Arabidopsis thaliana: one gene and its partners. The protein of the gene in region 4 interacts with the protein of the main gene of each other region in a pairwise test. Each region holds a gene or a part of one and is shown on either strand. Other genes may lie near its edges. The genes, in order: CAM3, ATERDJ2A, CNGC1 and PTR2.

Region 1 (6,330 bases), on a different chromosome or scaffold from region 4:
CATAATCCTCCACGGAGAAACTCAAACTCCTCCGCCGTCTCCTCCGGCTGCCTCCCCGGGTTCTTCAACCTCTTCCTCTCCACCTTCAACCGCCGCAAATCCATCACCTTGGGATCTAAAAAGCGAGAACAAAGAACCGTCGTTTACGCTTCTCCTCCGCAAGATTCATCAAACGGACAAGGCGGAGGAATCGTTGCGCCACCGCTTCCGCACAATGAAGGAGAGGGAGATGCGGCGAGAGTTAGTCTAGTCGGAGCACTAGAGAAATGTGATCGGGACTTAGAGGAGCTAAGAAGAACCATCGACGTCATCAAAACCACTTACATTCTTCACAAGAGACTTGAGGTTTCTCCGCCGACCACACGTGAGAATTTTAAATTCTCCGGCACCGGTACGTTTCTCCGTTTTTGTCAGTGTTTTGGTCATCTTATACGTTTAATACAAACATGTCGAAATCATCTTTTTTTTTTTTCACTTATAAAAACTTCTCTTATTTATTGATAACTTAACAAAAATCAAGAAAGAAAAATTCATATTAAAATGTGGGAGAATTGATGTGGTCCGTAATTTGTAGCACATTATCAGGGAATTTTGTATTTTAATCTTTTGTTGTTCAAAATAAATAAATTAAAGTAGTAAACTTAAGTGAACATTGTGTCAACTAAAGTAGCAATAAAGAGTGAAGATAGAATGGGAAGGCCAAAGAGTTGTCTCTTTAATTTGGTGGTGTTGAAATCATGAGTATGTCCAATAGTGGAAGACAGGCTCATCATTTTGGTATATACAAATAAAAGTATATTGATAAAGACATCTTATTGCTCTAACAATTTCATGCATGCATAAACTGTGTTATTTGATTTTGATGTCACATCTAATTGCTCTAACAATTGGATCATTATATAGTTGTTGTCATATTGAGGATAGTGTTCAAAATTATATAAAGACAATATAGTATGGACCCCAATTAAGTTTCGGTGGGGCTAATTATGTAATGAGGTTTAGTCTAATCTGATAGGATCAAATTAAAGTGGAGAAGAGAGTAAAGAAAGTGTGAGGAGAAAGAGGCATGTTAGACAAATGATGAAGGAAGAAACAGCTTTTAGGGGCCTTTATTCCTTTAGTCATGAAGCCCACTTTAACTTTTCCCATCATTTGGACCCCCACCCATTCTTTGATTTATTCCTGATTCTGACCCACATACTGTTTTATGGTACCAAATCAAGAACACCACTTTTAAAGAAAAATGATTCTACAAGCACTTCATGTATGCCTGAGTCTTATTATTCGCTAGTAATAGTTTATATATATTTGTGTGACAACGTACTAATTTATATACTAAACACACAAGTTGTCTGATAAATTATTTTCGTCTTATTTAACAAACAACCAACAGTACTGGCAGGAGATGTCGTCGTGGGGACGCACACGCAGAAGAACACGAAGACGACACAACACGAACCAGACACAGACACGATGTTGTCGATGATGAACCATCACGAATATTGCTGCAAAGACAACAAACCCTACAAAGTCAACAATATAAATCTAATCACTAGACCCGATCATTACTCCATTCATGACGTCATTTCCAAGAGATCAACGTCAACGACGACGACAGAGTCATGTGGCACGTTGCCCCTTGTGGTGCGGAGGGTAAGACGGAGCTTGATGGAGAGCGTGAACCAAGTTTGTGATGACGTGGCATCTGGTCAACGAAGAGAGGTCGCTAAAATCGGTTTGGCTCTTCATGATCACATCTGTCGCGACTTGATCGCAGAGACCGTTCGAGAGCTCTCCTTCTCTGACTACGACGACGACGAGTTTTATCAATCGCCGGTGGATTCTTCTGTTTGTTACGGCGGAGGAGGTAAAGGCCAACACATCCGACGTGGCAGCAGCAACTCTCTCCCATTCGACGCGTGTCGAAGAAGATTAGTGTTTTGATGCGATTGATATCTTTAGGTTCGTTGTGACGGTTATGGAAGTCATAGTTGCGACAATTTTCACCTATGACACTTGTTGTTTAAATTATTTTATAATTTTCTTAGCTTATTCAGAATTTAAGACATATCTTTCAATAGAGTGCAATTGGTTGTTTAGGGTTTAATGAATGATACACTATTTGCATTCAATATAAAAACTTTCCCTATTTGATGAATTCATGTATATACTAGTACTACATAGATTTCCTTAAATAAATGAATGATTAACAAAATCAGAAACAATATATTCATCTAGATACAGATATTAATGTTTTTTTTAATAACTCATCCTATATTTTAAAACTCGATCGTTTTCTCTTTATATATACCTTTCTTAAGTTACCTTATATACATAATTTAATCATAGAATTTATTAAGAAATTGATTAGACGTATCAATTATATCTTGAAGTGATTTTGATTGTTTGAAAACGAAATCTAATCTAATTAATTTGCAGGTGATATTGTACTTAAGTTAACAATAAAAGAAACTAATTATTTGTTTTCAATGGTGAGGAGGACTACTTAAATTCAAAAGCGAAGCCAATCATAAACAGACATCTGTACTGAGAGAGATCTCGAGGACCCAGCGAGAATGCTGACGTGACAGTCAAGTCAACGCTCCGCGTACAGACCGCGTGAACGTGTGATCCGTTTAATTGTCCACTCTGGCGTTTTATAAGAGAAAAGAAATCATTGATGATAGCATTAACGCAATTACAGTCATAATCCGAGGTTATAACAGAGATTTTTCCAAACCCGGTACGGGTTAAAAAAAAAAGCTTTTAAAGTCCCGGGTCGGAGCAAAAGTCGTTAATAGCTTCGTACCCGATAAATACGGTTGCTCTCTCGTTTTTTCCAGCAGAGACACTTTTTCTAATTTTCTCTTCTTCTTCTTCTTTCTCGTTTTGAGAGAAAACAAAAAAATTCTGAATCTACAGGTTTCACGAAAAGGAGAAGAAAAAAACAATGGCGGATCAGCTCACCGACGATCAGATCTCTGAGTTTAAGGAAGCTTTCAGCTTATTCGACAAGGATGGTGATGGTACGTTGTTGTTTTTTTCTCTCTCCCTCTCGCAATTTCAAATGTTTTTGAATACATAGGATTTTGCTACTGTTGGATCTTGGTGTCTAGCCATAACTGATTTGATTTCTGTTCTTCTTGTTGATTCAATTGATCTGTGTCGATGTAGATAATTAACGGATCTGTAATTCGTGATCTCTAGACTCGTTCCTTGTTTTTCAATTTTTGTTCGTTTGTTTCCTGGATTGGATTTGAATCGAAATTTGGATGATTGATGACTTGGAGATTTGCCAATTTGTTATCGATTTGGATTTAATTTTCCATCTGAATTATTTTATCTCACTTTAGATTTGAGAAGTTAATGACTAGAAACTGTTAATTGAGAAGTTTGGGATCTAGCTAAAATGCTTCTCTACAGAGAAACCTGCTTTGAGTTTCGTAATTGAAGATATTTGATTGAATTAGATTTACAGAGAAGTGAATGATGAACAAATTCTTGATTTGCTTGTAGGTTGCATTACCACCAAGGAGCTGGGTACTGTGATGCGTTCCCTTGGACAAAACCCAACCGAAGCAGAGCTTCAAGACATGATCAACGAAGTGGATGCTGATGGTAACGGTACCATTGATTTCCCAGAGTTCTTGAACCTTATGGCTCGTAAGATGAAGGACACCGACTCTGAGGAAGAGCTCAAGGAAGCATTCCGGGTTTTCGACAAGGACCAGAACGGTTTCATCTCAGCAGCTGAGCTCCGCCATGTGATGACAAACCTTGGTGAGAAGCTTACTGATGAAGAAGTTGATGAGATGATCAAGGAAGCTGATGTTGATGGTGATGGTCAGATTAACTACGAAGAGTTTGTTAAGGTCATGATGGCTAAGTGATGCTGTTTTAGAACCAAACAATGGCTCTATAAACTTGGTTTGCATCTCTTACATATAAATTCTTATGTTATGTTCTATAATTTTTATTCATGGGACTCGAGGTATGTTTTCTGCTTGTTTAAGACGCGAATGTTTTATCCCTTTTATGCTCTATTTTGCGTCTGAACATTTTCAAAAGTCTTGTTTTTTTGTTGTCTTGCTCCTGTAATTTGTAACCTTGGTCTAGTTCGCGGTTTTTTATTAATGGTGTCTCTCTAGTAAAGCATTGTATCATGGTTTTGTGAAATGCAAATTAGGTCCTATCAATGACTAAAAAGGTCAAAACGTGGTGTGGTGTGTATCATTAAAAAAATAGAAACCGACATAAAAGTTTCCAATTCGTGGTCGTTTAAGAAAAAGGAAAACGGCATAAAGTTTCCTATTCGTGGTTGAATTGGGATCATTCAATTGATGTGAATATAGGTAAAATACCTTTGTGTTTCTTTGTTCACGTTCGTTTCATACTTCCCCTAAATTTGTCTCATCATGGATAACAAGAAGCAGAGATATTCCAGGAGCATCCGTGACGATCGTGATGAGAGAGATAGGACTAAGCATCATCATGAGAGGTCTCACGAAGGAAGTAAGAGGAAAGATAGATCAGAGGAAGAGAATGGGGCGGCTAGGACGACAAACAAGAGTTCTAGGTTTGAAGATGTAGCTAGGTTTGAGAAAAGGCCGTATACTTGTTCTATTGCATCGGACACTACTTCTAGTCAAATCCTTGAAGCTGTTAAACGATTTCAGGAGCTGGCAATAGATACGGCTGTTGCACATAAACAGACCAAGGGCTTTTTTCTGCGTGTAGATGTACTTGGAAGAGAAATAGATGAGTATGGGCATGTGATTAATCTTAGTACATTGATGGTTAACAACAACAAACACAAGAAAGATGTTTTTCAGAATATTCTTAAACCTCCCCAACCTTTTAAATTGACAAAGAAGGAAGAGAAGAAACTGCAAACTCTAAGGCGTGTGGCAAAAGAAAAGGAGAAACAGAAGATGATTAGACAAGCGTTGTTTGAACCACAAAAATCAAAGGTGAAATTGAGCAACCTAATGAAGGTTCTTGCGTCTGAATTAGCAACCCAAGACTTCTTCTTATGAAGAGTTTCCTTCTTCTCATTTAACAGATTAACTATGAAGAGTTTGTTAAGGTCATGATGGCTAAGTGATGCTGTTTTGGAACCAAACAATGGCTCTAAACTTGGTTTGCATCTCTTACATATAAATTCTTGTGTTATGTTCTAATTTTTTTTTTGTGTGGGACTCGAGGTATGTTTTCTGGTTGTTTAAGAAACGAATGTTATATCCCTTTATGATCTATTTTGCGTCTGAATATTTTCAAAAGCCTTGTTATTTCTGTTGTCTTGCTCTTGTAATTTGTAACTTGGTCTAGTTCGTGGTTTTCTATTAAAGGTCTCTAGTGTCATTGTTTTTTTAAATGCAAATTAGGTCCTATCAATGGCAGTCAGTTTACGTTAAATTGATTTCCTAACGGGGCTCATTGAATAGCTTCAAATGATCAACGAAACAGAAGGCCAATAAAAACCTAAACACAAGAGAATGTGAAACACCTCAGTAGAAATTTTAATGAAACATTGAATTTAGTGAAGCATCAAATCATAAGATGTCCGCGAGTTTCTTCCAAATATTAGCAATCATTTAACAATTTGCTTTGTTTCTTATAATTTCATTCAAAAGAACTTCACATGACTTTGAACCTCTTGGCATCGAAGCTAAGTCCTCTTCAATCTGTTGCTTCGCTTCCACTTCACATGGATATGTCTTATAGAAGATTTTTGCCGTTTTCAAACAAAGCGCATGGTTCAGGAGATAACTCACCAGATCCTTATCTCCGTATCTCCCTGTGTACCCTTTCCACTCTAGAGCTTCAAGACTGGACAACAAACATTCGGGAACCAAACTTGGCGGTTCCCAACGACCCAACGGGGTTAGTAAGTAAACCTGCGATCACGAGAAAAAATGGTAAAACTGCTATTAATAATAAGATCATTGAGGTCGAATATTAAACACTAGTATAAATTACAATGGTAAAGGAAAAAAGGGAGAAAACTGAATACATGTTCAAGCTTGAGGACCACCAATTTAGTGAAACATAGGAGCAAATCTACAAGCATTTCCACAGATCTTTCACTACATATGCTCAGCTCCAGATGCACGATTCGACTGAAGGTACTTGCATCCTAGAAAAAAAAGAAAAAAAAAACACGATATTTCATTTATGTGATGGTTCCAACAAGATATAACACGAGAAAGAAACGACATGGAATGAAAAAAGTTACCTCTAATTTTGATGGAACTCCGAGCCTAACCCGTACAATATACCGGTAACGGCTTGCATATGCCAACTCTTGAATGCTGAAGTACTTGAAAGAAG
Region 2 (8,696 bases), on a different chromosome or scaffold from region 4:
GCTTCAGATCTGGAAGATCTGGGAATAAAGATTGGGAAACATACCTGGATCGCGAGAGGGGTTTAAAGTTATGGAAGCTTGAACCCAAATCTGGGTTTTATCGTCGTAGAGAGAAAACGAAGAGCAGGAGAGGTTGTCGTAAGGAAGAGACAAGAGAGCGAGAGGGGTTTATTAAGAAGCCCCCAGGGTTGCGTTCCTCTCTACTTTTCCTTTTTTCTTTTCACACTTTCTTTTCCTTTTTTTTTTTAATTACTACTTTTATGTCCTTTTCTTCTAATACTATATCTTATGATATTTATTTTTGCCTCTCTTTCATAATTTACGTAAACAAATCGAGTCTACAAATAAAAATTATCAAAACCAAATTAATACATTTGCGTAAAGCTCTTCCGTCCAAAACCAAATTATTTATAAGTTGAAAGATTATACAACTAACTTTGTATGCGTTAATGATAAACAACAATAATAATTCTAAACTATTTGAAAAATATTATTAGCTAGTAAATGATTTCTGAGTTGGATTTTTTCGAGATAATGTCACTGTTTACTGGCATTTCAATCCTACTGTTGCAAACCTTATTTTGTGAAATATTCTTAGTGTGGACAAAAATCTTGGATCGTAATCATCTAGTACAGTACTTTCTAATCGTCAATTAGATTGAAGAACTATATTAAATGTTTACATATATTTTTGGTATCACTTGCTTCTTTATTTGCATCTTTCCTACCTGATCTTAAGTTTACTCGGTTTAAAACTACTGTATATAGCAAACTTGCAATGACATGCAATATGCTATGATTGTTTTCTTTTGTTATAAATGTTAATATCATATATAAAATGAAAGAAATGTATTACAAAAGAGCATTAACCTAATCACCAGATTGCGAAAACCTTTTAGATGTCTTCTTGAAGATATGGTATTGCAAATTTCACGGTCAAAATTCTTGAAAATGATCGAAGAAAGCAGTGACTGTGAATTATGTAAGACATTATTTACTTGTTTTCAAATGTGGTAAACTCCACCGTGTGCTGCCATTTTTTTGAGAGTGGAAGGAACATTTGGTGAACGAGTTTTTGTCCAAGAGAGAAGCTCAAACTATGTGGAAGGCATATGCGTGTGCTGCCAGTTTCTTGAGAGTGGTAGGAACATTTGGTGAACGAGTTTTTGTCCAAGAGAAAAGCTCAAACCATGTGGAAAGCATATTCGTGTGCTGCCAGTTTCTTGAGAGTGGTAAGAACATTTGGTGAACAAAAGCTCAAACTATGTGGAAGGCATATGATGCGAGAAATGCTTAACCGAGAAAAAAATTAGCCTCCAAATCTCACAAGCAAAATCTCAAGTTAATAAGCATTTTAGCAGTGGTGTCTATGTACAACAATATCATAATATGAAAGCCAGTAATAAAATTTAAATGGTATGAAAAACGATAATAGCTATATAATAACATTTTCTTTGTTTTTAATATCTATATTTTGTTTTAGTTATATATAATATTAACATGTCAACAAAGTTTTCAAATAACTGATTATTTAATATAATCAAAACAAGTAAAATTATACGATATTTGGCTAGATTTAAAACGACTATTTTAGTGAATCGAATAACCAAATCATACCAAACTCATTCAAAATCATTATTAGCTTTCGTTACAGTAGATAAAAAAGTATTGGTAACCATGCTCTTATAAATTTAATTGAATTAGACAGTTTATGATTAAATCGATAATAATAACGAAGATTGATGTATTTTGCAAGTAGAACAATTTATTTCTGGTCGAAATATAAATAGTTACAACAAAACAGTTTTCTTAAAATCATTAAATATTTGTTTTGTTTAAATCTCTATTTTGTTGTAACTATTTACAATCTCTAGATCACATTAAATCTCTAGAACATATAAGAGATTTGTTGCAATCCCTATTACAATATCTGGATCACATTAAATCTCTAGAGCATATAATCCCTCTTTGATCCATATCCTTTTCTCTTTTTCCTTTCTAATTTATAAAAAATGTGATTTTTTTTGGGAAATTCGTTTTCGTTCACCATAAAAACTTTGCTATTAATAATTACTCTAATTTAATGGAAAATAAATAACTCGTAAAAATGTAAAGAGAGAAATGAATTGCGAAATATTTTAATTGAGAAGGTAAAGAAAAGTGAATAAGCAAGTAAAGAAGAAAGAACTCACCAATCAGAAATCAGAAATTAGAAGAGAAGAGAAGCATAAAGAAAAAAAAACTGCAACGCCGTTTGTTGCCGATCTGCAGCAGCGCGATCTCTCTGATTATAGAGAGCTATCATCCTAGGTGAGCTTCTTCTTCGATTTCCTCTTCTACAATATCCTTTCAAGTTCGATTTCATCTTCTTTCACCAATTATTGGTTTTGCTTCCTTCCCGTAGTTTCGTTTGTTTGTTTTCTAAGGTTTTGTGTCGATCTCAAAGTGAGTCCAGGGATTCATATACCTTTAGACTAGATTAGCCGAGATCTATTAGTGTTGATCTCCGTCATGTAGAATCCCTAATTAATTTCAGTGGCCTCAGATCCAGCTTTTCATGTTATTGATAATTTTGTATCCTTGAAGCTTTTTGGATGTTGTGAGATTATAACAGAGCTTTTCCTTTCAGCAGAATAGAATCTCTCAGTTTAAAGGCTCCAAAGATGGCGGCGTCAGAAGAGAATAGCGCATTGTTTCCCATTTTTATCTTGACGATTATGGCAATTCCTTTGGTGCCTTACACCATGGTCAAGTTAAGCGGTGCTCTCTCCAAGAAACAAAGGACCATTCATTGTCAGTGTCTCGAGTGTGACCGTTCTGGAAAATATAAGAGATCCTTGTTTAAAAAGGTTACTTTCCACTCAACCTCCTGCTCTGTAATAGATTATTGCATGTTCCTAACCTCTTCTTCACTTATCTATCTGCAGATCTCTAACTTCTCTACGTGGAGCAACTTGACACTTGTGCTACTCTGGGTCGTGATGATTTTCTTGATTTATTACACTAAGAACATGAGCCGTGAGGTAATCCCATTGCTTGCTGTTGAACTTGAATGCACCGCTGACTTATATCAACTAATTCTACTTGCTTATTTACCTTCTTTTGTGTTACAGGCTCAAGTTTTTGACCCATTCAGTATACTTGGACTGGAACCTGGAGTTACAGATTCAGAAATAAAGAAAGCATATAGAAGGCTGTCGATTCAATACCATCCTGATAAAAATCCAGATCCAGGTCAAGTTTTTCCCCTTGTTATTTTTTTTTTCCCTTTTGATCATTACGGAATTATGGTTGCAGCTTTTGATCCTGATAGTTTTTTCTTCTATGCGCATTTGTTGATCTCTACAGAAGCCAATAAATATTTTGTGGAGTTCATATCTAAAGCATACCAGGCTTTGACTGATTCAGTATCCCGTGAAAACTTTGAGAAGTATGGTCATCCAGATGGCAGACAGGTAAGGATACATCTCCTTTCCCTTCGCATGTGCTCCCGTCTTATTGACAAGCCTATTGAGACTAAAATATTGTTATGTGATCGCAGGGATTTCAAATGGGCATTGCTCTTCCTCAATTTCTTCTAGACATTGATGGAGCATCTGGTGGCATATTATTGCTTTGGATAGTTGGTGTCTGTATTCTCTTGCCCCTTGTGATTGCTGTTATATATCTCTCGAGGTCATCAAAGTATACTGGGAACTACGTTATGCATCAAACACTCTCCGCATATTATTATCTAATGAAACCCTCTCTGGCCCCAAGGTATATTCACTCATACCCATATACATTCAAGTGATGCTATTGGTGCATGACAAATGGGCTGTGTTTTCGTTTGTTTGTATGACATGTTTTAAAATTTTTATTGTCCAGCAAAGTTATGGAAGTTTTCACCAAGGCAGCTGAGTACATGGAGATTCCAGTTCGTAGAACTGATGATGAACCTCTGCAGAAGCTCTTTATGTCTGTTAGGAGTGAACTAAATTTGGACCTGAAGAACATGAAGCAAGAGCAAGCTAAGTTTTGGAAACAGCATCCTGCCATAGTGAAGGTGAATTTTAAAATTATGCAACTGTAATGCTAAATATTGGATAAACTGAAATACTCACTTCCTCAATTTCTGTACAGACCGAGCTGTTGATACAAGCCCAGTTAACTCGTGAATCAGGAGTCCTGTCTCCAGCCCTTCAGGGTGATTTCAGGCGTGTGCTAGAGCTTGCACCTCGCCTCCTTGAGGAGTTATTGAAGGTCTAGTCTCTATTTAAATAACACAATTTCTGATAAAATAACCATCAAAAAGCGATGACCGCAAAGTGCTAACCTAGAAGATATGTATTTTCCTTTAGAGGAACTCGAAACAGACTCTTAAAAGACTTAGAAATTTAGGTTAATAGTGATGCTTTTGGTTACACTGTTAAATTGTGGTTTTCTTAACCATTCTTTCATTATAACATTGTGAGTTTCTTGCAGATGGCGGTTATACCACGCACTGCCCAAGGGCATGGATGGCTGAGGCCTGCAGTTGGAGTAGTTGAGCTATCTCAGTGCATTGTTCAGGTCTTAAATTGCTCTCATCGCCTATCTTCTAGTTTTTATTTGTTTGTGAGCTTTCAGTTCTTTATGTCTCTTTTCTCCACAAGATTTACTTCTTCCTGAAAGTTTAAGAAGTGCTTAGTGTTGTTGTCTAGGAACATAAACTAAAAATCCAAAATCGCAGGCTGTTCCTCTTAGTGCAAGGAAGTCTTCTGGAGTATCATCAGAAGGCATTTCCCCTTTCTTACAGCTCCCTCATTTCAGTGATGCCGTTGTCAAAAAGATAGCACGGAAGGTATACTACTATCAAATGTGTCAAGTGCAGTACTAATATCTAGTTCCATATCATGTGCATTTTTCTCTCACTTTTTGATTCCTGAGAATCTTGTTGGATTCTGTTCTCCAAATAAGTAGTAGTGGTTCTTTAGGTTGGTTTACTTAAAGGTCTAGTCTAAAGACATATATAAACCTCCATTTTATGTTAACATGTCATTGTTTCTCCTATTTTCAGAAGGTTAAATCATTCCAAGATCTTCAAGAAATGAGGTTGGAAGACCGTTCTGAACTACTTACTCAGGTAGCGGGTTTATCAGCAACTGATGTTGAGGACATTGAGAAGGTGCTAGAAATGATGCCGTCTATTACAGTCGACATCACATGTGAAACAGAAGGGGAAGAGGGGATCCAAGAGGGAGACATTGTGACCCTTCAAGCTTGGGTCACCCTGAAACGACCCAATGGGCTTGTAGGCGCTCTTCCTCATGCACCCTACTTCCCCTTCCACAAGGAGGAAAACTATTGGGTTCTTCTGGCTGATTCAGTGTCGAACAACGTTTGGTTCTCTCAGAAGGTTAGCTTCCTGGATGAAGGTGGAGCGATAACGGCTGCATCAAAAGCCATCAGTGAGTCAATGGAAGGTTCGGGTGCAGGGGTGAAGGAAACAAACGATGCAGTGAGAGAAGCGATTGAGAAGGTTAAAGGAGGGTCAAGGCTGGTCATGGGTAAACTCCAAGCACCGGCAGAGGGAACATACAACTTGACTTGCTTCTGCCTGTGTGACACATGGATCGGGTGTGACAAAAAGCAAGCACTGAAAGTGAAAGTCCTGAAAAGAACCAGGGCAGGGACACGTGGGTTGGTTTCAGATGAGGGTGCGATTGCAGAAGAAGGTATGGAGGAGGAAGATGAGATTGAGGAGGAGGATTACGATGATGATTACGAAAGTGAGTACAGTGAAGATGAGGATGAGAAGAAAGATATGGATGAGAAGAGAGGGTCGAAGAAGGCCAATGGGAGTGTGAAACAGAAGAAAGAGTCGAGTTCTGAAGAGTCGGGATCGGAGGAAGAGTGAAACAGAAATGAGATTTTACATTGATAAACAAAACAAAAAATACAATACTTTTGTCCTGGAATCTTGACGGAAACTTCTTTTTCACAGTTTTGATATTCTCTCATTGGCTCCCTTCTCTTTCTTTCTCTCTGTATCACTTTTCTTCAGAGACACACATACAAGCAAAACGCGACTAAGGAGAAAATCGTACTAACTCGGACAAATTTTGGTACACAGCATTACAAAACAAAACAAAACTTTTTAACTCCCCCAAATAGTTTAGGGTTTAGGGTTTATTGGGGGCCCCAATACAGACCATCAGGTATCAGGTAATGGGCCTTGTTAATAAAGTAGTGGGTTATAATGGGCTTTACGGTTGTTTCAAGAAGTGGAAGCCCTACAAGGCGGGAAAATCAGAAGAGGCGCGTCTGCTTCCGTCTTCTTCTTCGTCTTCTCCGGAGAGGTTTTGTGGTGTTATCGGCGGAATCCGACCCGAAAATGCCAAATTACAGCATCAGAGGAATCAATGTTGAATTCCCATTCGAGGCGTACCAGTCTCAGATCATATACATGGACAGAGTCATCGAGTCTCTTCAAAACGTGGGTTTCCCTCTCCCTCTCTCTCTCTCTCTTTTTTACACACCAACTCTCTTCAACTGTTTTGTTGATGATGATATTCGCGTGATGATACTCTCTCTCTCTCTCTCTATTCTGTTGTTTATTTTGCTTTCCCCAATTCTATATCGCTTTTTAGGGTTCTTCCCCGTTCACACTGACCATTTGGGTTCTTAAATTAACGCTGAATTAGTTGTTAACTAATCTTGTTTATAACTTGTGATGATGATGCAGAAATGTCATGCGCTTTTGGAGAGTCCTACGGGAACTGGGAAAACTCTTTGTCTTCTCTGTGCCACCTTAGCCTGGCGAAAGAGTCTGGGCTCTTTCTCAACCCGTAAGGATCGGAAGAACAGTGCCATTCCTTGGTCCGATTCAGACGAGCCTCTGTCACAATCCGGAGGAGGAGGAGGAGGAGCTTTTCCCACCATAGTTTATGCGTCCCGGACTCATAGTCAGCTCCGCCAAGTGATCAAAGAATTAAAAAGAAGTAGCTACAGGTCGGACACACCACAAATTCTGTTTCTGCCTTATAGCTACCTGCTCATCATCTCTTCTCAATCAATTTTGTAGGCCTAAGATGGTGGTGCTTGGATCACGGGAGCAGTTATGCGTTAATGAGGAAGTCAACTCCCTCCGTGGCAAAGCACTCACTAATGCCTGTCAGTACCTTTGCAAAAAGCGCGGTAAACGCCAATGCAACCATTTCAATCGCCTTCCAGGTACACAGCCATCATCAAACGACCATTTATAAATCCTTCTTCTTTATGAATTATGGTTACTATTTTTCCCTTTCCTTTAATCTTTTGTAGATTATTTGAAGCATAACCCTCATATTGGCGACGAACCTGTTGACATTGAGGATTTGGTCAATATTGGAAAAGATTCTGGACCGTAGGTTCCTCTATTTTTTTTGCTACTTCAACAAATATTTTCGTTTCTTACGTTCCTGGCTTTTTCCATCTGTGTACTATATTTGTATTTTTCAGATGCCCTTATTATATCACAAGAGAGCTTCACAAGGACGTGGACATCATATTTGCACCTTACAACTACTTGATCAGCAATGGGTATAGAAAGTTTTTGAAAGTCAACTGGACTAATAGTGTCCTTATTTTTGATGAAGCGCACAATCTGGTAAGGGACTAATGTTGTTTCACATATAATTTCCTTATGTATTCTCTGTTCATCATGAACTCTTCGTTTCTTGGGGTTTTGTTCTATTTTTCCGGGTTACCAAACGATTATACTGCTTCCAACTTCTCGAAACACTCAGTTCATCTTTAAAACATGCGCAGGAAAGTTTATGCGCAGACTCTGCTTCATTTGACCTTCCTTCTGTTCTTTTATCGGCTTGCATTTCTGAAGCGCAAGAATGTGTACAACTTGCGGCAGCAAGAAGGGATTCATTAAATGACGTTTCCATAAACCCTGAGAATTTTGCTATACTTAAAGGTCAAACTTTAGGCCTTGACTGAGATTACAACGTTCTGTTATACATGAATGCCTGTTCTCATCTATCGTTGTTTTTCTCTTGCAGGACTGCTTCTTAAGCTGCAGGAACTGATTTCTAAAGTGCCAATTCCCAAAAGGGACGAGGGATTTACCAAGCCTGGGCCTTACATATATGAAATGCTTAAAAGCCTTAACATCACTCACGAAACTGCTCCTAAACTCATTGGTACAGTTGAGGAGGCTGCAGTGTTCCTGGAGGAGGAAAAACAACGAACAGCGACCAACGCTGGAAGCAAACTAGAAATCATTGCTGACATGCTTAAGCTGATCTTTAGAGAAAATGGAAGTAACCATGCAGATGTTTATCGTGTAAGTTTTAAGAAGAGTGTTGTTCTTTATATTCTGTGTCGAATTTTTATAATTAAGTTGAAAAGAAAATTATCTTTCTCTTACACCATCTCATTCGTCCTTTGTTAGGTTCATGTACAGGAGCTGGAGCAAAATTCTACTGATGTGATGAAAGGTAAATAAGAGTGCGATTTTCTAAAGCCTTTAAAACAAAACATTGTTGCTGTCCCAAAGCATTAACAAAAACGCCGTTTTGCTAATTTGAAAACATAGTAATCATTCTTATTCTGCTTCCCCTGTTGAAACTGGAAACAGTGTCTTTTGAAAGATTAGTCATATCTTTGGAGGAAATAAATGAATGATTTATTTTGTAGGCAAGGTATCAAGAACGCTTAGCTGGTGGTGCTTCAGTCCTGGGATT
Region 3 (8,167 bases), on a different chromosome or scaffold from region 4:
TATAGACTCTACTGAGAATGGACCCCAAACGTCTAAATGAATAAGATCAAATGGATTCTCAGACAAATGATTATTTGAACTAAAAGGTAACCTTTTCTGTTTAGCTAATGGACAGACTTCACAATGATCATGAATAGCAGACTTAGTCATAGGTAAAATACCAGAAAGATGTTGTAACTTGGCAGATGATGGATGTCCTAGGCGATGATGCCATAGACGATCATCAACTATCAAGGATCCACAGAAATTTGATGAATGCAATGTATCTTCTTTCTTCAGAATGTAAAGATTATGTATGAGAGTTCCTCTACCAATCGTCAAGTCCCGAGTATGGTCCTGAATATAACATGAATCATGATAGAAATGAGCTGAACATTTATTATGCATAAGTAAAGAACTAACACTGATGAGATTAAACTTGAATGTTGAAACATATAAAACATTATGCAAAGTCAATGTGGATGAAATATGCACTGTGCCTGTGTGACTAATGGGTACTCTAGTGCCATTTGGAAGTGAGACTGTAATACCAGTAACAGGAAAAGTCTCACTAAACATTGCCAAATCAGAACAAACATGACTACTAGCTCCACTGTCAACTATCCAAGCATCATGAGGCAAAATGGAATATAATGATGAAAGACAATGATGTTGAAATGTGAAAGAATGATTTTCATATCGTAAACTTGTTGAGGGAAATTCAATAGAAACATTACCAGCTGTAGAAGTAGTTGCCATAGCTCCATGATCAGTGATGGTAGCTGATGGAAAGGGAGTTGACTGCTCCGGAACATGAAGATGAGTATTGAGTTGTTGTATTAAAGAATGGACTTGATCCGTCGTAAAAAGACTGAGATCAAGACTTGATGCAGTCATTGCAGGAGGTGGAATATAAGGAGTAGATCCCATGACTGCATTAGCAACAGCATTATGTCATTTTTCATTCAAATCCGAAGAAGAGAAAGATACTCTTACAAATGTCTTTTTCTTGTGATAATTTTACGGGTGGGAAGATGGTTGACTTTGACTCATATCGTCCATATTCAAAGGTCTTGATAGTTTGAATTCGATGTTAATAGTATTTTATTCGTATAAACAATTAAATAAGAGTTGACAATGTTTAGACAAATTTGGATTATGAAGTAGTAACAATGATAAAATCTTGAGACTGGTCTCCAAATCCGACAGCTAGGAACCTCCCTTGGCATTCATAAGACAACGTACAATCAGGGACACGATACGGTCAACGGTCTCTATTAGCACTTAATTATCAGTATCAATTAAACTATCAATTGAGTAATATAATAGACGTTCAAATTTAATTTTAAACTTAACGGTCTAAATTTGTGGAGAACAAAATTTGGTAAAAATGAGAAGATAAAGAGGAAGAGGACACGTGGGTTGGTTCGTGGTTGATCGACAAGTACTCACGGGCTATATCTTTAACTTATCATCCTTTTATTCTTAACAAAAGAAATTTGGTGGAGATAAATTTAATCATGGTCATGGTTTTAGTAGCTACAAATGCAAATGTGATTTTCTTTTTTCGTCTGCGTTTGCAAGTTTGAAATTTTTGGTGCTGATGAAAAAAAGAAGAGATGATGTTTCACCATTTTTTTTTTTGTTTTTTGATCAAAGGATGTTTCACCAACATAAGAAAAGAAAACATGTCATGAAGGAGTTAGGACTAACAGTTTGAAAATACTTAAGAACTCAAATGTTAAAAAGGCTCATATTTTTTTCCCAAATTATGTCATCTCCTTCTATAATCTAAATCATTCGTGATTTAACATAAAACTAAATATTAAGTAACTTTATTCAAATCTATGAAATCGATTTACCATATACACGATTTTAAAAAGGATACAAGCGGAAATGAAACTGTGCATTGAAATATACGAACAAAAAGCCTGAGTTTACGAAATTTGACATTATCTCATCAACACGAAACTTCGACGTATTACAAAGACAAAAATCAAACCTACAAAAATAGAGAACAATAGTCAGTTACAGAATTTAAGTTTGCCACGAAAATGATACATCATTATGAAGTTTTTGTATGCCTAAACATTGATATCAGTTAATGTCTTCGACTGTAATAAAGAAATGCCTTGATTAACTCCGTAACTACGTCTTCTTTTGTCAGCAAATTCTAATTTATTACATGCTTAAGTTGATTTGATCCCATAACCAAACAACATATATATGGAATGTATATAAAAAAAATCTAAGCAATCTAAAAAAATTAATTATAATATATGCTATAAAAAAAATTATAGGAAACTTTGCTAAATGGCATAAACAGTTATTTTAATTAAGTATATGGAATTGTCAAAAAATTATCATTATTTTTTTAAAAATACATGATTGACTCTTTTTTTTTGTGTGCAAACAAATACATGATTGACAAAAAAAAAATACATGATTGATAAAGATATTTCTTTCAACATCTATGGATGAGAGGATCAGGAAATGTAGCATTATTTTACTTTTGAAAACTACATATATTATTGTTGTGAGCCTGTGAATTCTGTAATCTTCCAACATATTCGTCTACTAAAAAACTGACAACTCAATTCAGAACATATTTTTCTACTAAAAGGTGAAGTTAAAAACTCAATTTAAAAAAGATTTCGTACTTAATAGTCAAAGTTAAATTTGGTCCGAAATCTTTTTGAAGTATCAAAGACTGCAAAGGTATAACTGTCTTTTTGGAATAACTTTAAAAAAATTAACAAAAACAGTGAAACAAAATTTAAGAAAATCGAAGAAAAAAATGATAAAATAGCAAAAGTTTGTGACTTTCGTGGAAACTCCTTCCCCGTCCTCTCTGTCCTCTGATAAAGGCTTCACTTTCATCATTCAATCTCTTCTTCTTCTTTCTTCTTCATCACTCTCTCTCTTTCTCCAATTTCTTCATTTTATCAGCTTCCTCTCTTCTTTAGTTTCTGGGTCACTTTAGTTTCGCTCTTTCCGAGGAAAAACAAAACAAAGATTTGATTTTTCTTTTTGGTGGGTTTAAACAGTGATTTCTTCTTTTGCCCTTTTATTGGTTCTTATTGTTCTCCTCAAAAGTCTACAGGATTGTCGGAAGCAAACACACTTGTCCATGTTCGGTTTGATTTTTTACCTCAAACAAGTTTCTTCCTTTTTTTTTGCTGTTTAGTCGAATTGCGTTTTTGACACTGGAAAGTTTTGAAATTTGAGTTTGATTTTTACTGAAATCGAAATTGTTGAATTGAATTGAAGTTTGTTGAATCAGGGTTATGAATTTCCCTCTAATTGGTGAAGAAGACACATGAAGCAGTGAAATCTCTGTTTGTATTGAATCTTATTAGTCTCAAACTATGAATTTCCGACAAGAGAAGTTTGTAAGGTCAGTGTTCCAGATTTGTCTCATTGAATTCTAAGTCGTGAAGCTTAATTCGATTCTTCTTCACTTTCTCGGATCAGGTTTCAAGATTGGAAGTCGGATAAGACTTCCTCCGACGTGGAATATTCCGGTAAAAACGAGATTCAAACTGGAATATTCCAGAGAACAATAAGCTCAATCTCCGACAAGTTTTACAGAAGCTTTGAATCAAGCTCTGCAAGGATCAAACTATTCAAAAGATCTTACAAGTCTTACTCTTTTAAAGAAGCTGTTTCAAAAGGGATTGGTTCTACTCACAAAATTCTTGACCCACAAGGACCTTTTCTTCAGAGATGGAACAAGATCTTTGTTTTAGCTTGTATCATCGCTGTCTCGCTTGACCCTTTGTTCTTCTACGTGCCTATCATCGATGATGCTAAGAAATGTCTTGGTATTGACAAGAAAATGGAAATAACAGCAAGCGTTTTGCGCTCTTTCACTGATGTTTTTTATGTCCTTCACATCATTTTCCAGTTCCGTACTGGCTTTATCGCTCCTTCGTCTCGTGTTTTTGGGAGAGGTGTTCTTGTTGAGGACAAGCGAGAGATCGCTAAACGTTACTTGTCCTCACATTTCATAATTGACATTCTTGCTGTTCTTCCGCTTCCGCAGGTGATTCATTGATTGGTTTTGTTTGCATTTCCAAATCATTAGCTTGATTCTTTGAGTAATGTGAGTAATTGTGTTTTTCCTCAGATGGTGATTTTGATAATCATTCCACATATGAGAGGTTCATCGTCTTTGAACACGAAGAATATGTTGAAGTTTATTGTTTTCTTCCAATATATACCGAGGTTTATAAGAATATATCCGCTCTACAAGGAAGTTACAAGAACTTCAGGCATACTCACTGAGACAGCTTGGGCTGGAGCTGCTTTCAATCTCTTCCTCTACATGCTTGCTAGTCATGTGAGTGCCAAATTGGTTCTAACTGTCCCAACCTTTTTAGTTTCAGAGTTTAGATATATAATATTTTTGGTCAATACCTGTAAATGTGTAGGTGTTTGGTGCTTTCTGGTATTTGTTCTCAATCGAACGCGAAACGGTGTGCTGGAAACAAGCTTGTGAGAGGAATAACCCTCCGTGCATTTCGAAGTTGTTGTACTGTGACCCTGAAACTGCAGGAGGCAATGCTTTCCTCAATGAGTCTTGTCCGATTCAGACACCAAACACAACACTCTTCGACTTTGGGATATTCCTTGACGCACTTCAATCCGGTGTAGTGGAATCTCAAGATTTCCCTCAAAAGTTTTTTTACTGTTTCTGGTGGGGTCTGCAGAACCTCAGGTATTGAGAATTTATCAGCAAAATTTTCTCCGTTTCTTATGAAGAAAAGTTTCAACACTAAGTTCTTGCATCTTTGTTCTGTTTTCGTGATCCAGTTCGCTCGGTCAGAACCTTAAAACAAGTACATATATTTGGGAAATCTGTTTCGCGGTGTTCATTTCTATTGCGGGGCTGGTTTTGTTCTCCTTCTTGATTGGAAATATGCAGGTTAGTCTCATTTCATCTAATATGCCATAGTGTTTGCGAAATCGATTACTTACTGCTTTTCTTTTAAATGGCAGACGTATCTGCAATCCACTACCACGAGATTGGAGGAGATGAGGGTAAAGAGAAGAGACGCAGAACAATGGATGTCACACCGTTTGCTACCTGAGAACTTGAGAAAAAGAATCCGGCGATACGAGCAGTACAAATGGCAAGAGACAAGAGGTGTTGACGAAGAGAATCTTCTTAGTAATCTTCCCAAAGATCTTAGACGCGACATCAAACGTCATCTCTGTCTCGCCCTTCTCATGCGGGTAAAGAAGAAATCATCTCCTCTCTTTACTCGATTTCTCATTTATTGTCAACATCACTCGTAACCGCATCTTGTTTTTGTTGGTTCTAGGTCCCCATGTTTGAGAAAATGGACGAACAGCTTCTTGATGCGCTCTGTGACCGTTTGCAACCTGTGTTATACACAGAGGAAAGCTACATAGTAAGAGAAGGAGATCCGGTAGACGAAATGCTCTTCATAATGCGCGGGAAGCTTCTAACAATCACAACAAACGGTGGAAGAACCGGTTTTTTAAATTCCGAGTATCTTGGAGCCGGTGATTTCTGTGGTGAGGAGCTTTTAACCTGGGCTTTAGACCCACACTCATCCTCAAACCTCCCAATCTCAACAAGAACTGTTCGAGCTCTCATGGAAGTTGAAGCTTTCGCACTTAAAGCTGATGACCTCAAATTCGTGGCTTCCCAGTTCAGACGTCTTCACAGCAAACAGCTAAGACATACTTTCAGGTACTACTCACAACAATGGAAGACTTGGGCCGCTTGCTTCATACAAGCCGCTTGGAGAAGATACATTAAGAAGAAACTCGAAGAGTCTCTTAAAGAAGAAGAGAATCGGTTGCAGGATGCTTTGGCTAAAGAAGCTTGTGGAAGTTCCCCAAGCCTCGGTGCTACAATATACGCATCACGGTTTGCTGCAAATATCTTGCGCACAATACGTAGGAGCGGATCAGTAAGGAAACCAAGGATGCCGGAACGAATGCCACCTATGCTACTTCAGAAACCAGCAGAGCCAGATTTCAACAGTGATGATTAATTAATTAGCATATATGTATATGAAAGATTTTATTGCGAACCATAGAGCCAATATATAAATATAAGTCTTTTTATAAAGGAGTAAACTTAGAGATACAAAGCCTTCAATGATTTATTATTCCTCTTCAAGAGTTCTACAAAGTTTGATATGAGGGATATGGTAGAGCCAAACAGAAGTCAAGAAGCCAGAAGTGAAGCTACTTCTCTCCGCAGGAATGTGGGCAAAGCAAATGCGGCTCTGTGCATCTGTTTTAGTAAAAAGATAGATCAGGATTTTGCTTTAAGTTAATCTAAAACAGTAAATGAGGAAGTCATAGTTGTGTTAAACTTACATCAGAGTTATAGAACTTCAATTCTCTTTTATGGGTCATCGCACCGTCTAGTTTCTCAATAGGGTTGATTGGGTTCTTGAAGTCAACAGCTGGTCCTTCAGTAGAGCACAAGACGAAACCAATCACGCCGCTGCAATGAAGATATGTTGCTCAATTCATGTTTCTGATTTCAGTGAGATCACACAATGTAATCAGAAGAAAAGTAGAGTTAACCTTGGATATGTGGGGACGCTGCTCCACGCATAGTGAACACTTTTGAATGTTTGACGGCAAATGGAGATCATATCTTCAATAAGATGAGTATGGAGCCACATACTTTCTGCCATGTTACAAAGAACTCCCCCAGGCTTCAACGCTCTAGCCAGTGTCTCGAAGAAAGGCTTCTCAACAAGCGCAAGAGCAGGACCTATGATTATATAGAGTGAAAACGTGAGAGTTTGTAGCTGAAGTCTGAACCGAGTTTTGATTTAGAAAAACAAAATAAGAATCACTCAGATATCCAAAGAGTTTTGCAGATGAATCATACCTACGGGATCTGAAGAATCAACAATGATGGCATCATACTTCCCTTCAGGGGATTTACGGAGGAACTCAGCAGCTGCCAGAGGAAAGTGATATCAACACAAGCAAATTTTTGACTACGTTTTGTGAACAGAGAACAAGTAGAAGAATGCTTAATTACCATCACCAATGTGAAGTTGAACACGAGGATCGTCAAACCCAACCGCTAACTCGGGGAAGAACTTCTTAGACACCTACAAGACCACAGAAATCCCACTTTCTGAGATAGAACATAACTAAAAATTGTTCATACATATGGCAAGCACAAAACCAAAAACTTACATCTATAACCATCTTGTCTATCTCACAGATATCAATAACCTCAACAGAACTATGGCGAGAAATCTCTCGAAGAACACCACCATCACCTCCACCAACAACAAGAACCTGCAAATATTTAGACAGCGAAGGCCAGCATTAATACGCAAGTAAAATGTGTAAGCTTGACAATTCCCTATTTTAATCTGAGCTGATTCTACATTTCAATGTACTGGAATGAGTCATCATTTGCGATAAGAGCTATCTCATGAGATCATATAGGAAGAAGAGAGCTACAACAACGCAATCGCATTGTGTTCCAACATATTCTCCAAAAAGAGGCACATTCATCACAAATTGAACATACTTTTAGATTGACTGATTTATTGCAACAGGCTACAAGATATAGGAAACCAGAGAGACTAAACTTTTTAAGGTGAGAAATTACATTTTTAGGGGAAGATATAGAGCATAAAGGCAGATGGGCTATCATCTCCTGATATGCACATTCATCTTTTTCGGTCAGCTGTACGATACCATCTAGAACAAGCACCTTTCCGTACGTGGCTGACTGCAAAAAGAAGAACAACAGCCTCAATTAATAGAAGAAAGACTCAGATGATAAGAACAATCGGACAAAAGCATAGATGCTATCTCAAACCTCGAACACTAGGACTTCCTGAAAATCCGACTTGTCTTTGAACAGAACTTTCTCAACTTTCAGTGAGTGTGCTTCTCCTACAATTAAACATAAACCAGTTGCATCAGTCACATGAGCAAGCACTCTGAAAAACTACAACTCACAAACTTTAACATACAGATTCAGCATCTAAACCAAGTAGGCGCTCATTCAAAGACAAAAAACGTAAGGTAGTAAGATAATGGAAAGCAACAACAACAAGCCTATCAAGAGGTAACCTACCTGGCCACATAGGGTTGTTGAAATAGACTGCTTTGCCGCCTTTTTTCCCTGCATCCAATTAAGAACAAGATCCAAAATAAGAGATCG
Region 4 (7,232 bases):
TACGACATTTATGGTTTTTTTTTTAATCAAACAAAAAAAATTATTGTATATTTTGGTTAAGAGATATGAAGTGAAATCACGTGTGAGTAAGAAGAAAGAGACATGAAATCATATATTAATTAATTATTGTAAATTTTGCACAAAAAAAAGAATTAATTATATATAAATATATATATATATATATATATATATATGTGTGTGGTATCTACATAATTAATTATTCTTCTTGTGATTGTAATATTTTGTAATATTTTTCACTATATGTAAATATGTGTGAGTTATTCGACATTTATGGTTTTATAGTTTCCAAAGGTATCAATATCACTGTTTGGATATTGAAGCTAAAGTAAAGAGAGAACGTAAACGAAAGAGTAGAGAGAAACTAACTCAGTTAACTAATAAAACCAATTGTACAAGTAGATTGATTAATTCAAGAAAACAACTAATTTGTTAACAACTCCGTTTAACAAACTAACAAACTCACAAAACTAAAACTAAAACAAATTTGTTAAATTATTATATATTTTTAACACTTTTATGTCTTTGTAGTATATATTATTGAATTTTCTTGTCAAGTAAAGTTTTTGGATTTGTTTGGATAAAACTGGGAGTTTAGGAAAATAGAGCAAATCAGCAAAATGCATCAAATGAAAAAAGATTGAAGATCACGACCGACCTTGACAATCGTAAGAGTCAGTACATAAGATGTCCAGAACTGATCGGTTACATACTTGTACCGATCATTATAAAAAATGTTTCTTAGTTTAGGATTCCGACTCATTGCATATAAATTCTTAACACTTTGTAATCGTATAGGCAGATTGTTTTGTTTTTTTTTCTGTGATTATCTAGTTTTTCTATATAAAATTTTATAAACAAAATGATCGTTTGAAGAATTAGAGCATATTTGTCATTTGTTATTTTGACTAATCCATCTCCATTCAAATTGTCCAATTATGTTTAGTCAAATGAGTTTGAAAATTTTGCCTAATTTAATCATCCAAATGAGCAAAAGAATAAAGCCACACATTACTTACTAATAATATTAAAGCCCACATTAAAATAATTTCTCACGTAAAAAACAAATACTTACACAAACCTATATAATCTAGACTCTACTTCACTTGTTTGCCCTAAACCATCTATCATCTCTCTTTCAATTCATCTACACCTTATTTTTATATTTCTCAAATACTTTTCGAGAAAATTATATACCCTTTTTAATATACGACGAATGAAATCGCAGGAAGATAATCTTCTACTTGTTCTTCTACTCGAGGGGATAAAAAATTACGGACTTAAGAGATGGGATAAGATACTAGCATCACTTCTTCTATCCCAGCGAAGTATCGCTAAATGTAAAAAAAAATTCTAATCTTTCGTTAAACGAAAGGTAAATTATTTTCTCGAAAAAATTTGTGTATAGAATTAAAGGTTTTCTTTAGTCAATAGCTAATCAATCTTATCATTTATTTTCTACTAGTTTCTTATTTGCACAATACATTTGAGAAAATTATGTTATGTTTTCAAGAGTTTTGGGTTTTTGTAGAGTATTAGATAAAATCAATATTTTCTCTCTTGAGACTAGTTTCTTCTTTGCACCATACATTTGTGTTCTTTTTCATTTTCTCAAAGCTGTTTGTTTTACCGAATTTTCTCTTGGGTTGTGGAGAATATTTTTTTTTTTTAGTTTTTATAACACCTTATCTTATATAAAAACAAAAGAGTTTGTTTTTACAAGGGATGATGGATGATGAATCTATAGATGGTCGTAGTACCACACTCTCTATGGACTCAAGTTGTGGAGAATCTTTTTTTTTTTAGTTTTTATAACACCTTATTTGATATAGAAACAAATGATTTTGTTCTTACAAGAGATGATGGATGATGAATCTATAGATGGTCGTACCACATTCTCTATGCACCCTATGAATCAAGTTGTGGAATCAATCAAAGTTGGCCACATATAGTTATGAAATGATTTTGTGATAAAAACACAAATTAATTTCTATGTGAATCACAAAGAAAATATATATATATATATATAATTCCCATTTGAAGTTTAAGCACAGACCTTAGAAAAATATGTAAACAAAGCCGATGTCTATAGTCCAATAAAAACAAATTTCGCCGGGAAAAGGAATATAAAAAATTTGTCACATTTACCAAAAAATAATAGGAGAGTTTATATAGTTTCAACGTACAATTAATGATCTAGGTTATCGAGTTTTAATTTCCATTTCTCCTAATTTTGCTGACTTGAGCTACATATTATTGAGCATTCTTGTTCTTTCAGGGTTTATAGAGAGATTGGCTGATAATTACTGTTTGTTATCTGAGTCCCCAAACGATTTACTGATATCAACAACGTATTGATGATGTATTGTTTTAGAAACACATATATGTAAAAAAAAAATTCTTGATTAGAGTGATATCAACAACTTGAGACATGGACAGGTAACAGGTTGATCCACAATTCTATCTTTACGTCATAATAATAACAAAAAATTCGTAAAAAGATGAGTTTTGTTAATTACTTCTCTTATTATAATCAAAGTTTTGATTTTTATTTTCCAATAAGTCGCCGGGAAAAGTAAAATAAAAAGCCGTCACGTCTCCGATAAATAATAGAGTATCGTTAGATAGGTAGCTTCAACGTAAGGAATCTAAATTGGTTCAGCTCAAAAAACGAAAACGATGGGTTCCATCGAAGAAGAAGCAAGACCTCTCATCGAAGAAGGTTTAATTTTACAGGTTTGTTCAATTTCAATTAATCACTTAGGTTAGCGAATTTTGATTTTACTCAATTCCAAAATCTTGACTTTAGATTGATCTTATGCATTTTCTTTCTGGGTTTATTGAGATCTTTTCTGGGCAATCACTGTTTTATCTAATTGATGATTCCAATGTTTGAATTTTGCAAGTAGATATAGATCAAAGTTTCGAGCTTTGATACAGTTATAGTTTAGTTAGCTAATCAAAAATGTTTTGTGAATTTGTTTTAAGTAGGAAGTGAAATTGTATGCTGAAGATGGTTCAGTGGACTTTAATGGAAACCCACCATTGAAGGAGAAAACAGGAAACTGGAAAGCTTGTCCTTTTATTCTTGGTAATGAATGTTGTGAGAGGCTAGCTTACTATGGTATTGCTGGGAATTTAATCACTTACCTCACCACTAAGCTTCACCAAGGAAATGTTTCTGCTGCTACAAACGTTACCACATGGCAAGGGACTTGTTATCTCACTCCTCTCATTGGAGCTGTTCTGGCTGATGCTTACTGGGGACGTTACTGGACCATCGCTTGTTTCTCCGGGATTTATTTCATCGTAAGCATTGCTTCTCTGTGTAATGTTTGGTTTGGTTTGTTTGCTCCTGATTACTGATAGGTTTTTGTATTTGTTTAGGGGATGTCTGCGTTAACTCTTTCAGCTTCAGTTCCGGCATTGAAGCCAGCGGAATGTATTGGTGACTTTTGTCCATCTGCAACGCCAGCTCAGTATGCGATGTTCTTTGGTGGGCTTTACCTGATCGCTCTTGGAACTGGAGGTATCAAACCGTGTGTCTCATCCTTCGGTGCCGATCAGTTTGATGACACGGACTCTCGGGAACGAGTTAGAAAAGCTTCGTTCTTTAACTGGTTTTACTTCTCCATCAATATTGGAGCACTTGTGTCATCTAGTCTTCTAGTTTGGATTCAAGAGAATCGCGGGTGGGGTTTAGGGTTTGGGATACCAACAGTGTTCATGGGACTAGCCATTGCAAGTTTCTTCTTTGGCACACCTCTTTATAGGTTTCAGAAACCTGGAGGAAGCCCTATAACTCGGATTTCCCAAGTCGTGGTTGCTTCGTTCCGGAAATCGTCTGTCAAAGTCCCTGAAGACGCCACACTTCTGTATGAAACTCAAGACAAGAACTCTGCTATTGCTGGAAGTAGAAAAATCGAGCATACCGATGATTGCCAGTAAATATCCGCTTCATTGCTTTCCAGTAATGTATAGCTTTACTTGGTTTAACAAGTTATTCTGGTATGATGCAGGTATCTTGACAAAGCCGCTGTTATCTCAGAAGAAGAATCGAAATCCGGAGATTATTCCAACTCGTGGAGACTATGCACGGTTACGCAAGTCGAAGAACTCAAGATTCTGATCCGAATGTTCCCAATCTGGGCTTCTGGTATCATTTTCTCAGCTGTATACGCACAAATGTCCACAATGTTTGTTCAACAAGGCCGAGCCATGAACTGCAAAATTGGATCATTCCAGCTTCCTCCTGCAGCACTCGGGACATTCGACACAGCAAGCGTCATCATCTGGGTGCCGCTCTACGACCGGTTCATCGTTCCCTTAGCAAGAAAGTTCACAGGAGTAGACAAAGGATTCACTGAGATACAAAGAATGGGAATTGGTCTGTTTGTCTCTGTTCTCTGTATGGCAGCTGCAGCTATCGTCGAAATCATCCGTCTCCATATGGCCAACGATCTTGGATTAGTCGAGTCAGGAGCCCCAGTTCCCATATCCGTCTTGTGGCAGATTCCACAGTACTTCATTCTCGGTGCAGCCGAAGTATTCTACTTCATCGGTCAGCTCGAGTTCTTCTACGACCAATCTCCAGATGCAATGAGAAGCTTGTGCAGTGCCTTGGCTCTTTTGACCAATGCACTTGGTAACTACTTGAGCTCGTTGATCCTCACGCTCGTGACTTATTTTACAACAAGAAATGGGCAAGAAGGTTGGATTTCGGATAATCTCAATTCAGGTCATCTCGATTACTTCTTCTGGCTCTTGGCTGGTCTTAGCCTTGTGAACATGGCGGTTTACTTCTTCTCTGCTGCTAGGTATAAGCAAAAGAAAGCTTCGTCGTAGTAATGCTGTTATCTATCTACTTTCATTACATACAAAAGTTTGTTTCTTTCAACTGTAACTGTCTCTGTATCAATAACAACATTGCTGTGTACTTTTCCTTTCAATTTCAAAAGTTTAAGTCGCATTTGCAATATTATAAACAATTCAGGGTTCGAATACTAAATTGAGAGAAATTGTCCATAGGCTTAGTAAATCAAATGGGCTTTTGGCCCATATCAAACGGGCACAAATATGACCCGGAGAAGAAGAATGTTCCGGGTCAATAAAATCGAAGAAGAAGAAGAGAGTATCGTTGTGAGGTTTGGGGATCGCGAAAATGGAGGTTCCAGGTTCATCGAAGAAGATGATCGCAACGCAAGAAGAGATGTCTGCAGCTAAAATAGCACTTGGATCTAGAGATATGTGCGCTCATCTCTTGATTCCGCTCAACAAATGTCGTCAGGCTGAGTTTTACCTTCCATGGAAATGTGAAGACGAGCGTCACGTTTATGAGAAGTGTGAATACGAGCTTGTTATGGAGAGAATGCTTGCGATGAAGAAGATCCGTGAAGAAGAAGCTTTGGCTAAACAGAATAAACTACAAGGAAACGCTGCTGTTCCTCTTATCCCTAAAACTGCTAATGCTTAGGATTCGATTCCTTCTCCAATTTGCCGATTCCAGATTCCGGTTAGTCTATAGTTTTTCGATTTCTTGTGTTTTGGTTGATTTGATTGAATTGGTTTGTTTCTTCTGCTACATGATCAGATCTTCGTGTTCTTCAAATTCCAAATTAGGGTTTCATTGGGAATAAATGAGATTGCTTGTTCAATTAGATGTCTAATGCATTATCTTGGTTTTGAATTGTGAATTCTCTCGTCTTAGCAATTTTGTTGCCTCTGTTGTGAACATTTGACTACAATTGGATTCAATTTCTCTTAGACTGCAATCACAATTGTTCTGTATCAATCATGTTAGAGAAATGTCTGGACTTTGTACTTCTTGTTGTAAAGTATCTCAATGATATCTGAAGTTTGGATAAGGAAAATTCCATCATTGACTGGATTTTCTACAGATTTTGTTTTTTCATGATGTTTCCTTTTCAAAGCTTAATAGATAAGTCTTTAAGTAATCAGTAGCACTAATTTGCTGGAACCTTTAGACTATATAAGGATTTAAGTGTGTTTTACTGATTAACAGGACACAATTCAATTCGTTAGACTATATCTTTTATGTTTGCAAGTTATATGTTCGATGAACTTGTAAATAGTGTCTCAGATATCATGACTAGCAATTGTTACAGTGACTTTGTGTTACAGACCCGTAGAGGATATAAGAGTGTTTCACTGCTTAACAGGACACAATTCAAGTCGTTAGACTATATCTTTTGTGTTTACAACTTCTTTTGCCCGTTCTCTGTTTTAAGATCTTGTAATCTGATATCATGACTAGCAATTGTTACAGTCGCTTTGTGTTACAGACCCTTAAAAAGGATACAAGAGAGTTTCACTGATTAACTAGACCCAAGTCTATTCGTTAGACTATATCTTTTATGTTTGATTTATGATCTCACACTTCTAGGCTTTGAAATTCTTATGATTGATATATATCTTTTGTGAACTTGTAAATTGTGTCTCAGATATTCATGGCTAAGAATTGGTACAGTCACTTTGTGTTACTTATAAATCCGTGAGAAGAATTGTATAATTACAGCACCAACTACATACCTGTGTCTAAACGTTTTCTGCTTTGTTGTTTTGGTATTTTATGTCACAACAGCTACAGAACAAATCTCTTAATGTCTCTCATCTTCTTGTTCTCACTTGCCATTGAGTACTCTTGCATGCTTGTGTGATTCTTTCCTTTTTCATATCGTTCTTATGTGTTTCACTACTTGTTCATTGTATATGCCATTATGATTTGACACCAATGGGTGTTTTCTCTGTTATAAAGATAGACCCCTAAATACTTGGTCTAAGATTCTTCAACATGACAATGATTTTGTTTTCTCCTGATTTGATTGTTTATTCATTCTTCTGAGTCCTAATTCACACTCTGAAAATATTTGGACAGGGATTCTCTGGAACTGTGAAGATGGTGGGGACTCTGCTTTTCAATCTTTTTCTTCTTGCTAGTGATGAAAAATTGTTGCTACATTTTCAGATGTGAATGTTCAAGATTCTCTATCTTTTTTTTTTTTTTGAACTCTTTTTAACTTGGAGTGGTTTCCCAAAAAATAAGATGCAAAACTCATCTTTTTGTTGGTTTTCTATCTTTAATCTGTGAGAAATAAAAAATATATATGAGATCACTGACACATTGCTTATAGAACCAAATCACTTCACTGGAAGAACCATCTAACGAAATTAGTGAAATACTAGAAGTCTAAACG

What was found.
Region 1: the proteins of PTR2 (region 4) and CAM3 interact in a protein complementation assay, tested with the Arabidopsis thaliana proteins (one large-scale study listed by BioGRID).
Region 2: the proteins of PTR2 (region 4) and ATERDJ2A interact in a protein complementation assay, tested with the Arabidopsis thaliana proteins (one large-scale study listed by BioGRID).
Region 3: the proteins of PTR2 (region 4) and CNGC1 interact in a protein complementation assay, tested with the Arabidopsis thaliana proteins (one large-scale study listed by BioGRID).

The regions. Positions count from the first base shown.
Region 1 is NC_003074.8:21,032,541-21,038,870, reverse strand, and holds CAM3 (calmodulin 3), read left to right. Parts: upstream 1-2,704; 5' UTR 2,705-2,950; coding exon 2,951-3,026; intron 3,027-3,516; coding exon 3,517-3,890; 3' UTR 3,891-4,337; downstream 4,338-6,330. Other genes in the region: AT3G56810 (uncharacterized protein), read left to right, coding at 1-391, 1,394-1,944; AT3G56790 (RNA splicing factor-like protein), read left to right, coding at 4,416-5,036; AT3G56780 (FBD, F-box and Leucine Rich Repeat domains containing protein), read right to left, coding at 5,595-5,897, 6,014-6,136, 6,236-6,330. UniProt on the Arabidopsis thaliana protein: Calmodulin mediates the control of a large number of enzymes, ion channels and other proteins by Ca(2+). Among the enzymes to be stimulated by the calmodulin-Ca(2+) complex are a number of protein kinases and phosphatases. Activates MPK8 in vitro.
Region 2 is NC_003070.9:30,067,360-30,076,055, forward strand, and holds ATERDJ2A (DnaJ / Sec63 Brl domains-containing protein), read left to right. Parts: upstream 1-2,159; 5' UTR 2,160-2,310; exon of another isoform or gene 2,311-2,353; intron 2,354-2,629; exon of another isoform or gene 2,630-2,632; 5' UTR 2,633-2,663; coding exon 2,664-2,849; intron 2,850-2,927; coding exon 2,928-3,023; intron 3,024-3,113; coding exon 3,114-3,234; intron 3,235-3,348; coding exon 3,349-3,455; intron 3,456-3,541; coding exon 3,542-3,759; intron 3,760-3,867; coding exon 3,868-4,045; intron 4,046-4,122; coding exon 4,123-4,242; intron 4,243-4,464; coding exon 4,465-4,551; intron 4,552-4,711; coding exon 4,712-4,822; intron 4,823-5,038; coding exon 5,039-5,878; 3' UTR 5,879-6,081; downstream 6,082-8,696. Other genes in the region: AT1G79950 (RAD3-like DNA-binding helicase protein), read left to right, coding at 6,221-6,457, 6,707-6,972, 7,046-7,194, 7,285-7,366, 7,462-7,609, 7,771-7,927, 8,013-8,296, 8,405-8,450 and 1 more. UniProt on the Arabidopsis thaliana protein: Required for integral membrane and secreted preprotein translocation across the endoplasmic reticulum membrane.
Region 3 is NC_003076.8:21,535,671-21,543,837, reverse strand, and holds CNGC1 (cyclic nucleotide gated channel 1), read left to right. Parts: upstream 1-2,808; 5' UTR 2,809-3,116; intron 3,117-3,262; 5' UTR 3,263-3,347; coding exon 3,348-3,376; intron 3,377-3,453; coding exon 3,454-4,024; intron 4,025-4,108; coding exon 4,109-4,321; intron 4,322-4,412; coding exon 4,413-4,699; intron 4,700-4,794; coding exon 4,795-4,906; intron 4,907-4,980; coding exon 4,981-5,217; intron 5,218-5,306; coding exon 5,307-6,008; 3' UTR 6,009-6,117; downstream 6,118-8,167. Other genes in the region: SPDS3 (spermidine synthase 3), read right to left, coding at 6,185-6,253, 6,340-6,469, 6,553-6,745, 6,866-6,937, 7,022-7,094, 7,183-7,287, 7,526-7,729, 7,820-7,896 and 1 more. UniProt on the Arabidopsis thaliana protein: Acts as a cyclic nucleotide-gated ion channel. Can be activated by cyclic AMP which leads to an opening of the cation channel. May be responsible for cAMP-induced calcium entry in cells and thus should be involved in the calcium signal transduction.
Region 4 is NC_003071.7:484,845-492,076, forward strand, and holds PTR2 (peptide transporter 2), read left to right. Parts: upstream 1-2,553; 5' UTR 2,554-2,697; coding exon 2,698-2,754; intron 2,755-3,009; coding exon 3,010-3,327; intron 3,328-3,405; coding exon 3,406-3,962; intron 3,963-4,037; coding exon 4,038-4,863; 3' UTR 4,864-5,097; downstream 5,098-7,232. Other genes in the region: AT2G02050 (NADH-ubiquinone oxidoreductase B18 subunit), read left to right, coding at 5,180-5,491. UniProt on the Arabidopsis thaliana protein: Peptide transporter. Mediates the transport of di- and tripeptides. High affinity, low capacity transporter. Can also transport histidine.